Linked DNA regions of Caenorhabditis elegans. The protein of the gene in region 2 purifies or fractionates together with the protein of the main gene of each other region. This does not show direct contact. Each region holds a gene or a part of one and is shown on either strand. Other genes may lie near its edges.

The links.
Region 1: the proteins of phdh-1 (region 2) and pgm-2 fractionate together in Caenorhabditis elegans (co-fractionation; one large-scale study listed by BioGRID). This does not show direct contact.

Annotation. Positions count from the first base shown.
Region 1 is NC_003281.10:13,296,862-13,303,260, reverse strand, and holds pgm-2 (Phosphoglucomutase-2), read right to left. Parts: upstream 3,884-6,399; 5' UTR 3,883-3,883; coding exon 3,723-3,882; intron 3,045-3,722; coding exon 2,698-3,044; intron 2,632-2,697; coding exon 2,465-2,631; intron 2,408-2,464; coding exon 2,114-2,407; intron 2,046-2,113; coding exon 1,882-2,045; intron 1,285-1,881; coding exon 629-1,284; 3' UTR 501-628; downstream 1-500. Other genes in the region: Kinesin-like protein klp-19, read left to right, coding at 1-240; npp-18 (Nucleoporin SEH1), read right to left, coding at 4,475-4,614, 4,665-4,921, 5,509-5,896, 5,947-6,014, 6,066-6,127, 6,173-6,283, 6,339-6,399.
Region 2 is NC_003280.10:13,635,903-13,640,594, forward strand, and holds phdh-1 (D-3-phosphoglycerate dehydrogenase), read right to left. Parts: upstream 2,579-4,692; 5' UTR 2,578-2,578; coding exon 2,280-2,577; intron 1,928-2,279; coding exon 1,565-1,927; intron 1,500-1,564; coding exon 1,192-1,499; 3' UTR 1,017-1,191; coding exon of another isoform or gene 991-1,016; 3' UTR 967-990; downstream 1-966. Other genes in the region: tag-10 (Protein TolB), read left to right, coding at 317-370, 849-922.

The DNA of each region.
Region 1 (6,399 bases), on a different chromosome or scaffold from region 2:
CCAATCAAATGTGACGATGATACCCGTCTAACAGAAGAAGATGAAGACATTGAAAACGAGGCAATGAACAATGCCACCTTCGTCAAAGATTCGTTCAATTCTGCCACTATTGTGTTGGACGATTCGCAACCGTCTCCTTCCAACTCAACATTCGTGATCGGTGCAGCTCCAACGTCGGAAGCAGACGGTGTTCCTCCCATCAAGCGAAAGAGTCGTCGAACGGATCTTGGACCGCTCTAAATTCCAAGTTTTGTGTGTGAAAAATATTTAACACACCAATGCCTCCTCCTGTCAACTAATGATTAATTAACTTTTACTGTGAATAATAGTATTCGGGTACTAAATTGTGTCGTTTGACCCCCCATTCTGTCTTAAATAGATGATTTTAAATTAAGTAAACCTATTAGGCATTTTTCTTATCCATTTTTTCTCAAAATGCTTCAATAAAATTGAAAGTTTACACACTTTAATGTCTTCGTTTGGTTTTGCGTACAGCTTTTAGAACGTTCAGTAATTTATTGGGGAAATAAATTGAAAAATTAATTATCACAATAGAAGAAGACTACAATATATCGGAATGCAAATAGATTTATAAACATTTTTTGATTCTTATTCAAGACAAAAATTTTTATTTTCTTGGAATCAGTCCAAATTGCTGTGGTCTCAAAAGTGTAGCGACGACATCCTTCTCGAGTTGATCCATCTCAGAAATCACACTTTCCAGATCATTCTGCGTTTTTCCCGGAGCAGTGATGAGTTCAATATAGTACTTGATTTTTGGCTCAGTACCAGATGCTCGGAGAGTAGTGACACTTCCAGTTTTAAGGAAGAAAGTCACCATTTCCGAGGAAGTCGAGAGTGGAAGAACGGGCTTATTGTCGGGCTTTGAGTTGTCGTATCCGATCGTCAAGTCTCTCACGGATGCCACTTCGGCTTCTCCGATTTTCGTCGGGAACTTCAGATCGGCTCTCAATGTGCTGAAGAGCTTCTTGGTGACCTCCGGAGCCGGTACCATCCAATAAGTGGATCTGACCAAATGGAAGCCATATCGATTGTAGAGAGCGTACAGCTGGTCTTGCAACGATTTTCCCTCCGCGTGAAGGAAAGCGGCGATTTCGGCGAAAACTGCGGCAGCGGACACGCCGTCCTTGTCCATGGTATGCCCTGGCATGTATCCGATCGATTCTTCCCACGCCAGAATGACCTGATTTCCATCGGCACGGAGCTCCTCGGCTCGATTTCCCATCCATTTGAATCCGGTCAGGGTGGTCTCGTTTTTGAAGCCTGAATTTTATAGTTTTTTTTTGTTAATTGTAATTTTAATATTTTATATTCTAAACAGGGCTGCTGCTTTTTTTTTGGCAAAAATTACTTAAAATTCTTCAAAAATGTTGATTTTTAGTCGGTAGAACGAAAAAAATTCGAATTTTTTTTTCAACTAAAATCGAAAAACGAAAGTTTTTCTTTCGATTCTCGATTTTTAAAAAAAGTTTTAAAAGAAAATTGTAGGTTTCTTTATGTAGTTTTTCATCAAAATTTACAAAACTTGGATAAAAATTCGAATATTATTGTTAATTTTCTGATTTTTAAAAAATATAATTAGATTTTCCGGAAAATCGAAAATTTTCGTTTTTCAATGTTTTTCAAAAAAAAAACTCGGCTTCTTTTTCGTATTTATCAAAATCTTGCAAGATTGTTTTTAAAAATTAGGAAAAAACTAAAACCATGCGGCGAAATTGCGAAATGGCGTGCCGCGGACACGCAATTCCGCGGTACGCGGTTTTGCAACATTGCCGCACGGTTTAATTTCAGCATTTTTTTGAAAAAATTGTATCTTTTTCATCAAAAAGCAAATTTTTCTCTTTCGAAATTAAATTTCACCTTCTGCATCAGCAATTGTCTTGACAATTTGTGAGGACACAGCACTATTCAGAATGTATACTTTTGATGCATCAGCATTCGGATTCGCTTTTCTCCAGTTTGTCCAAATCCACCAAGTGATGAGAGCGCCCATCTCATTACCAGTGAACACACGCCATTCGCCGCTGAAAATTGAATTTTTTTGAAAATAAAATTTTTTAAAATATATATTTTGGAAATTCAAAAAACTTACTCTTTCTGCTTCTCGGCCATTTGAATTCTGTCGGCGTCTGGATCGTTGGCTAAAATAACTGTCGATCCATTTTTATCGGCAGTTTCCATCGCCAGCGTGAGCACTTTTCGTCCTTCTTCTGGATTTGGGAATGGAATTGTTGGAAAATCTGGGTTTGGATCTTGTTGCTCGGCCACCGAAATGAACGATGAAGCTGGGAATCCAAATTCGGCGAACATTCGTTTTGTGTAGTGATAGCCGATTCCATGGAACGCGGAATACGTGAATTTCAGCGGAGTTGAGCCATTGATTTCTCTGAAAATATTATTGGATTTACCTTTTTTTAAACGATTTTTTAAAATTTCTACAAACCTAGTGAAGTTCAACGATTTCTCAACTTCAAAATACGGGTCAATTACAACATCAGCTGAATGGAAAAGTGGCGAAGATTTGAGTTCACTCAAGTCCCAGTACTCATCTCTCGGCTGTGGCTCGGCCTCTTTGATTCTAACAATTTCCGTGTCATGTGGTCCAATGATCTGCAAAAAAAACCTTTTCTTTTTTAATCTTAAAAAGAATTAAATCTTAAATATTGATCTATTTACCTGAGCTCCATTGCTCCAGTACGCCTTATATCCATTGTCTTCCTTTGGATTATGTGATGCAGTAATAATAAGTCCAGCATCACATCCCAGCTTAATCGTTGCCCACGAGACAACAGGAGTTGGAGAGACTTCAGAGAAAAGATAAACTGGAATATTGTTACGAACAAAGACGTTCGCCGAGAGCTCTGCGAAACGTCGACTGTTGTAACGTCCATCAAATCCGATGGCGACTCCGTTCTTCGGTTGTCCATAGACGTTCAGCATGTGTCGAGCGAATCCGTGCGTGATTTGGATGATTGTAAGATCGTTGAGGCGTCCAAATCCAGCTTGCATTGGAGAACGGACACCTGGAAAAAATACGTTTATATTTTGAGCTGTACTTTTGAATCTCTACTGTTCTCCTGTTAATATCACCCAGCTTCTTCAGAGTGTAGACAGTGGAGAGACGCAGAGATGTGGGGACCGTGTGATACGGGAACACAAATCTTTGAGAATGCGCATTGCGCAAAATATCTCGTAGCGAAAACTACAGTAATTCTTTAAACTAGTGTAGCGCTTGTGTAGATTTATGGGCTCACTTGGTGTCTGGCTGTCCCAATATAGCTTGATCTACAAAAAATGCGGGAATTTTTTACCAGAAAAATGTGGCGCCAGCACGCTCTTAACCATGCGAATTCGGCTAAGAACTCTGCGTCTCTTCTCCCGCATTTTTTGTAGATCAAAGCGAAATGGGACTTTCTGACTCCACGTGTGGGCTCGGTTTTCGAGAATAAATGTTTTTCGAATAGCGACAGATACAGATTGTTTCGAAAATTGACTACAGTAGCCATTAAAAGAATTATTGTAGCTTTCGCTATGAGATATTTTGCGCGTCAAATAAGTTGCGCAATATGCATTCCCGTAATAATGAAGATTCACACTCTGTAAATCTACACAATTTCGGGTCTTCCTCCCTTTGTCCCAATATAGCTGCGTTTCTTCCACCGTTTACACACTGCAGCTGTGTAATATTATTTTCTTCTCACCAGCAGTTCCAAAAACCAATCGAGTATCCATACGAGCTTTCAATGCATCAACGTTCTTCTCATCAACCAGCTTTTGAATTTCATTACGATTCTTATCATTCTTATCCCAAGCGAGCCAATCGGCAACTTGCTTGTCAAGCTTTGCACATCCAAGAGTCATTCTGAAAATTAGAAAGTGCTTAAATTTTGCAATAAAATTGTGGAAAAGACAACAAAAGTTTTAAAAAATCGAAATTTTGCAGATAAGGACACTAATACCACAATTATTCCGACATGTGTGGATGAGAAAAGGCCAGGTAAATGACCTTGCCGTTTCTCTATTTCTCTGCGAGTAACCCACTATCCCTAGATTTGGAAAAGAGATAAAATCAACAATAATTGATGGAGGTATTGTGGAAACTGTGAAAAAGACAGTATCGGGTTTCAGTAAATATTTAATTTTCGAATTTAGGTGAATGTTGAATGCAAAAAGAATTAACAAAAACGTCCAAAAAATATTTCTAGGCACAAAAACCGTTGAAAATTACATAAGTTAGATAAGTGGAATGTTTAATTCTTGCAGAAACCGATCAGCATGAAAAATCTGAAAATTAAACAGAAGATTGATAAAATACTTAAACATCAAAAAAAAATCGGTGATAATGTTCTCGGTTTTCAGTTTTCAGATGATGATAACAAATAATAATACACGCTTTGATAAGAAATCATTCGGAAAAAAAATGATCGGCGAGAAAAAATAGAGAAAAATATCGTTAGAAATAGGTTTTCTCGAGTTGTGATGGAAGACGTTCGGTAGTTTTCGATGAGATGAAGGCGCGAACTTCTTCAGGCGATGGAACGTAGTCGTCGACATTCATCTCACTCAGCTTTACCCATTGGTTCACGAAGAGTGCTGAAAATCAATTTTATTTCATTTTTGACTCTTTTTGATTTTTTCCCAACATTTCCAGGATCTCAGTGTTCCATCCAAGCTCGTCGACGAGATGACTGATCCCATGAGATTATATCGAAGCCTCCATGCTTTTCGATGATCCCCGAGCAGTGCCACCTTGATCAGATTGTAATCCGCCAGCTGAATCGGATTCTCGACACCGTCTTCTTCGAGAATCGCCGAACGAGCCACTTTGATGTTGTAGACGTGAACATCGCCTGATGCAACGGCTAATTGATGCGAATCCACCATCGATATCGGCGAGAATCTGAACATTTTAAATATTATAGTTAAAATAGCGGAAATTTTTTTTTGAAATTTTCAGACAAAAAATTGATAAAATAGCGGATTTTTCAAGAAAATTCGATTTTTTTTGAAATTTTTAGACAAAAATTATTAAAATAGCGAATTTTTCAAGAAAATTCCAATAATTTTTGGAATTTTCAGACAAAAAATTGATAAAACTGCGGACTTTTCCAGAAAATTCAATTTTTTTTGTTGGAATTTTTAGACAAAAAATTGTTAAAATAGCGGATTTTTCAAGAAAATTTTAAATATTTTTTGAATTTTGTTAAAATAGCGGAATTTTCAGAACATTTCAATTATTTTTAAAATTTTCAGGCAAAAAATTGATAAAATTGCGGATTTTTCAAGAAAATACGATTGTTTTTGAAATTTTTAGACACAAATCCGATAAATATCGGATTTTAGAAAATTCGATTATTTTTTGGAATTTCTAGACAAAAAATTATTCAAAGAGCGGATTTTTTAATACTGAAAAATCTGCTATTTTCAATGGAAAGGCAAGCGCGCTGTAATAATTATTCGGCTCCGAGGAGAGCGTGTTCTTCCTACTTCAAATCAGTAATCGGGCATGGTAGATCGAAGACTAATGAGTTGATTCGCTGCCATTTCCTCAATCCATCAATATTCTCATAGATCACAACTCGTTTCTTGTTCTCTGCCTTCTTCTCATCCGAACCAACAGCAATCAACGGGCGGTGCATACGAGAAAGTGACCATGTGACACATCCACATCGGGTATGAAACGCTTGAAGCTCGTGAATAAGATTCCATCGAGAAGCGTCCACAATATCCGGTGCTTCGTAGATTCTGACGGTTCCGAGAACGTTGCATGATGCCATCATGAGACCCAGATGGCGCGGGGAGAAGCAGATATCGGTGACGTCTGAACGATTATCGGAGATGATTGTTCTTCGGATCCATTGGGATTCTTTTTGCTCTGAGAGATACATAATGTTTTGGATTATATTTAGAGCGAATTATACTCACTCAGATCTTTCTCTGATCTCACAATTTGCTCCTCCCAAATTACAATCGTTCTGTCGTAGGAGCAGGTGCTGAAAATCAATCAATAAAGTATATTCGGGTGACAGTTTCTAGTTTCTTACGCAACAATCTGCCCAAATTCCGGATGAGCCCAAATAACGCGCCAAACTGCTCCACCATGACACTGAAATGAGGAAAATTATTTTATTTTCTGAAATTTCTTTTCTACCTTCCAGTGTGCAGATCTACGCCAATTTCCGTCTGGCTTTCGATCCCAAATCGCCATTGTCATATCGCTGGCACATGTTGCCATTCGTCGGCCATGAGGATCGAATGAAACCTGGAAATAAAAATCTTCAGTTTTTATCTAATTTTTCGAAATCAAGCCAACATACACAATGAATGAGATCTCTGTGAGCGCCGACGGTCTGAAAAGGTTTCACCGAGTCGTCTTCT
Region 2 (4,692 bases):
ATATTTGCAAACTGTAGTGTGTACATAGTATATCATAGTATATCAATTATACGCAATCGACTTTTATAGATACTACTATGCATGTATTCAGTTTATAAAATTGGTATTGTAGTTTGTAGTTTCTATATTGTAGTTTGTAGTATTTTTAGTGTAGTTTGTAACATAGCTGTATATCTTCTATCACATAAATATGTGCTACTTGAATTGCAGTTTCAGCTTAATTTTTGAATAATGAATTGACTCGTCCATTGAAATACATTAGAAATTTTATAGCTTGTAGTTGATATATTGTAGTTTGTGGTTTATACTGTTATAGCACCATCAACGGCTGCTCCGGCTGCTCCAACAGTGACAACAACTACGCCAGGAAGTAAGTGAACCATATTTTTGAGATGCATGCGTATATTTTACTGGGCTTGCAACGAATGTTGCATCACTTTTAGTTCTAGTTTGTAGTTTGTAGTTTATAGTATGCATTATGTAGTTTCTAGCTTTAAAAATTTGCAAACTATAGTATATACATTGTACGTAGTATATAAATTGCAGTTTTACGCATTTGACTTTTTTTTTTAATACTACCATGCATTGGTAGTTGGTATTGTAGTTTGTAGCCTCGAGATTGTAGTTTATAGTATTTGTAGTGTAGTTTGTAGTATGTGTAGTTTGTAGCATAACTGTATATCCTATCAAAAAAGCATGTGCTAGTTGAATTGTAGTAATTGTTGTATTCTAGCGTAATGTTTGAATAATGCTTTGCAATGCATTTACATTAGTACTTACGTTGCAATTATAGTTTGTAGTTATAGTTTGTAGTTTGTAGTCTGCATAATATAACTTGTATGTTCTAGCAACAACGTCACCATCCGCACACCTATCACTCCTGTCAATGTTCTCACTTCTTCTAATTGCATGCCTCTACTAATCTGATTCCGTACTTTTTTGGTAATTTTCCAGTAACACCTGAAATTTACTAGACTCTTTTTATTTCAGAATGGTGGTGGTCTCGAGGAGGATAATTTTTTTTTTGTTGGTTTTTTATCGATTTTCTTATGTATTTTTATGAATAAAACTGAAAAAAAATGGTTGTATGCGAAAACGACTTAAACTCACAAAAAATGTATTGTAAAAATGTAAAATGATCTCGTATAAACAGAAAATATGGGCGAAAATTCAAATAAACACACAAATAAATTAGTTGAGCACCTCTCGTGCGTTCAAAACTCCGAGCATAGTTCCCTTATTGTACTGCACAATGTTATCGGCGATTTCCGATGCGACACGGAGCTGCGCGTCAATCGTTGATGCTCCGAGATGTGGTGTCGCAATGACGAGTGGATGATCGATGAGCTCTCTGAACGTTGGTGGTTCTTGCTCAAACACGTCGAATGCTGCTCCCTTGGCGTGTCCAGCGTTCAGGGATTCCACCAGGTCGACCTCGTTCACAATTCCTCCACGCGCCACGTTGATGATACGGACTCCTTTTTTGCATTTCGCGAGGGCTGGAAAATGATTAGATAAATAAATTTTGGATTAAATAAAATACTTTTAAAAATGCTTAACTTACTCTCTTTATTGATCAAATTCTCAGTCTGCTTGATCAGCGGTACGTGGACCGTAATATAATCGGCCTGTGGCCAAATCTGCTCCAACGAGAGCAGCTCAATGTTCTTCGCCTCAGCCTGCTCCTTCGTGACCATTGGATCAAATCCAATAACCTTCATTCCAAAGGCCTGAAGCCTGACGGCCACCTCAGATCCAATTCGTCCGAGGCCGAGAACGGCTAGGGTGCGTCCGTAGACCTCCTCTCCCATGAAATCCTTGCGGGCCCATTTGCCGGCCTTCATCGATGCGGCGGCTTGTGGAACGTGGCGGGAGAGGGAGAGAATGAGTGTGCACGTGAGCTCGGCGGCAGAACGGGAGTTGGCTTCTGGAAAAATAAAATTTGAAATATAAACCGGTAAAGTTCTGTTGAAAAATTCTGTTAAAGCCATCCATTTTTTAGAATAGGCCCGTCCTTCGCCTAGGTCGGCCTGTTTTTGAAGTCATGCGTTTACACGTAGTGTCAGGCTGTCCCATTACGGTTTGATCTACAAAAAATGCGGGAATTTTTTGCCCAAAGCGAAATCAGTTGAGAACTCTGCGTCACTTCTTCCTCATTTTTTGTAGATCTACGTAGATCAAACCGAAATGAGACACGTGCGTTTGGGGAATTCCCCAGCCATGTGACTTTAGAACTTTCAAACCTAAACCCCATTCGTCAAATAACCCTCCCAACTCACGTGGTGTATTCATCACGAGAATCTTGTTCGCCGATGCGGCTGGCACATCGATATTGTCAACTCCAGTCCCGGCTCTTCCAACAAGCTTCAGCTTCCCAGCTGATGCAGCCAACAGCTCGGCGGTGATCTTCGTGGCGCTGCGAACAATGACGGCGTCGTGCTGTGGCAAGGTGACGAGAAGCTCGTCCTTCGTCTGCTTCGTCTTCACGGTCACCTCGATTCCGTTCTGCTTCAGAATGTCGACACACTCCTGCTCGATGTCGTCGGCGATGAGGACTTTGTTGATTGGGGCGCTCATTCTGGAAATTGGGAGTATAGTTTTGGAATAGTAATTTGAAAAGAGAATATACAGTTTTAAACTAAAAAAAAATAAAAGAAAAATCTTTAAAAAACGCAAAATAATTGTTCTTATATACCCTCTAATGTCACGCAAAGTGACGTAATCTCAGACGCTACCCCGCCCCTTTCCAGGTCAATTATAGATTGTAAAAGTCACGTAGACAATGACTATATTCATCGATCTTGCCGAGATAAGGTGAAAACAAAGATTTACAGCGTCGATATAAATATATCGATTATGGTATTAGGAAGAGTCACCACAAAAAGACTGCATGAACAACACGATATTTATGGGCTGATGCTGCTGATGGTGGAGGCTAGATAGCAAGTTTTGACTGGCCGGGGGTGGAGGAGGAAAAAACGAAGAACAGGAAACGTCGTTGAGGTCAAAATGGCGGTTATCAGTTATGGTCAGTCGACGTCAGAGAACACACACACAATGGGGTAGATGGGAGTAAAGTATCTAGATGGGGAAAGTTTGAAAAACGGGAAAAAATGTTGTATTTTTGGCATTTTGTCGACTTGGCAGGAATTTAAGTTCATGTAAAACTGGCAAATTGTCAATATTGAAATTTTTGCCGAATTTGCAAACTACAAAAAAAATATAGAAAATTCATGCCAAATTGGGAAAAATGAAAATTATTGCCAAAAAAAGGAAATTCTTGCCAATTTACCAAAATGAAAATTCTTGCCAAACTGACAAATTGCCAAAAAAGGAAATTTTTTCCAAATTGGCAAATTGGCAAAAAATGTTAAATTCTCGCCAAATTGGCAAATTGCCAAAAAAAAGGAAATTCTTGCCAATTTGCCAAAAAAGGAAATTCTCGCCAAATTGGCAAATTGCAAAAAAATTTTAAATTCTCGCCAAATTGGCAAATTGCCAAAAAAAAGGAAATTCTTGCCAATTTGCCAAAAAAGGAAATTCTCGCCAAATTGGCAAATTGCAAAAAAAATTTAAATTCTCGCCAAATTGGCAAATTGCCAAAAAATTTGCCAATTTGGCAAGAGTTTTATATTTTGATCATATTACCAAATTGGCAAAAAATGTAGTTTTTGGCAAATTGGCAATAATTTCCTTTTTGGCATAGTGCCAATTTGGCAATTAGGTAAGCTTTTTTTTGCAATCTGCAAATTTGTCAAGAATTTTAATTTTCGCCATTTTGCCGGATTGGCGGAAATGTAATTTTTGGCAAGAATTTCTTTTTTCTGGCAAATTGGCAATTATTCATTATTTGAAATTGCCAATTTGGCTAGGATTTTCATTTTTTGGCAATCTGCCAATTTGGTGGAATCTAGAATTTTTGCCATATTACCAAATTGACGGACTTTCCATTTTTGGCATTGTGCCAAGTTGATAAGAATTTCCTTTTTTTTGCACTTTGCCAATTAGGCAAGAATTTGAATTTTTGGCAATTCGCCAATTTGGCGAGAATTTTAATTTTTGGCCATCTGCCAATTTGGCATGAGGTATAAATTTTGACAAGTTGCCAATTTGGGATAAGTTTTATTTTGGGAGTTGGGCAATTAGAGGAGAATTTCAATTTTTGGCAATTTTCTAATTTGGCAAAAAATTTTCAACAGCGTTTTATGGGCAAAAACAATTAAAACTGAATTTTTAGAAAGTTAAAATAATTCCAACAACAATAATTCTTGTTAATTAAATTTTTCGGTTGTGACAACGTCATCACAAAACATTCTAAACCAATTTAAAGATATTGAGTCCTAAGAAGCTAAAACTTCAAAAATAAATTATATTTTCAGCATAGTTACACCGAAAACACACCGAAAAGAAGAGAGAAAATGCGTTTATGGTCAGCGAGCGGCAAGAGACAAAAAACGAACGTAGAAGGAGAAGATGGGCAACACACAAAAATGTGACACATTTAGAGAGAGAGAGAGAGATAGAGAGAAAAACAAAAGACGCGAGCGGAATACACAAAAATGGGTGCAAAACGGGTGTATGAATAAATAATGGGCAAATATTGGAACAAAACGGAGGGTTTTGTCGGGAATAAAAGGAATATTTCAATAGCTCATAGTTAAAAATTTCAAGATTTTCACAAAAATGAATGTC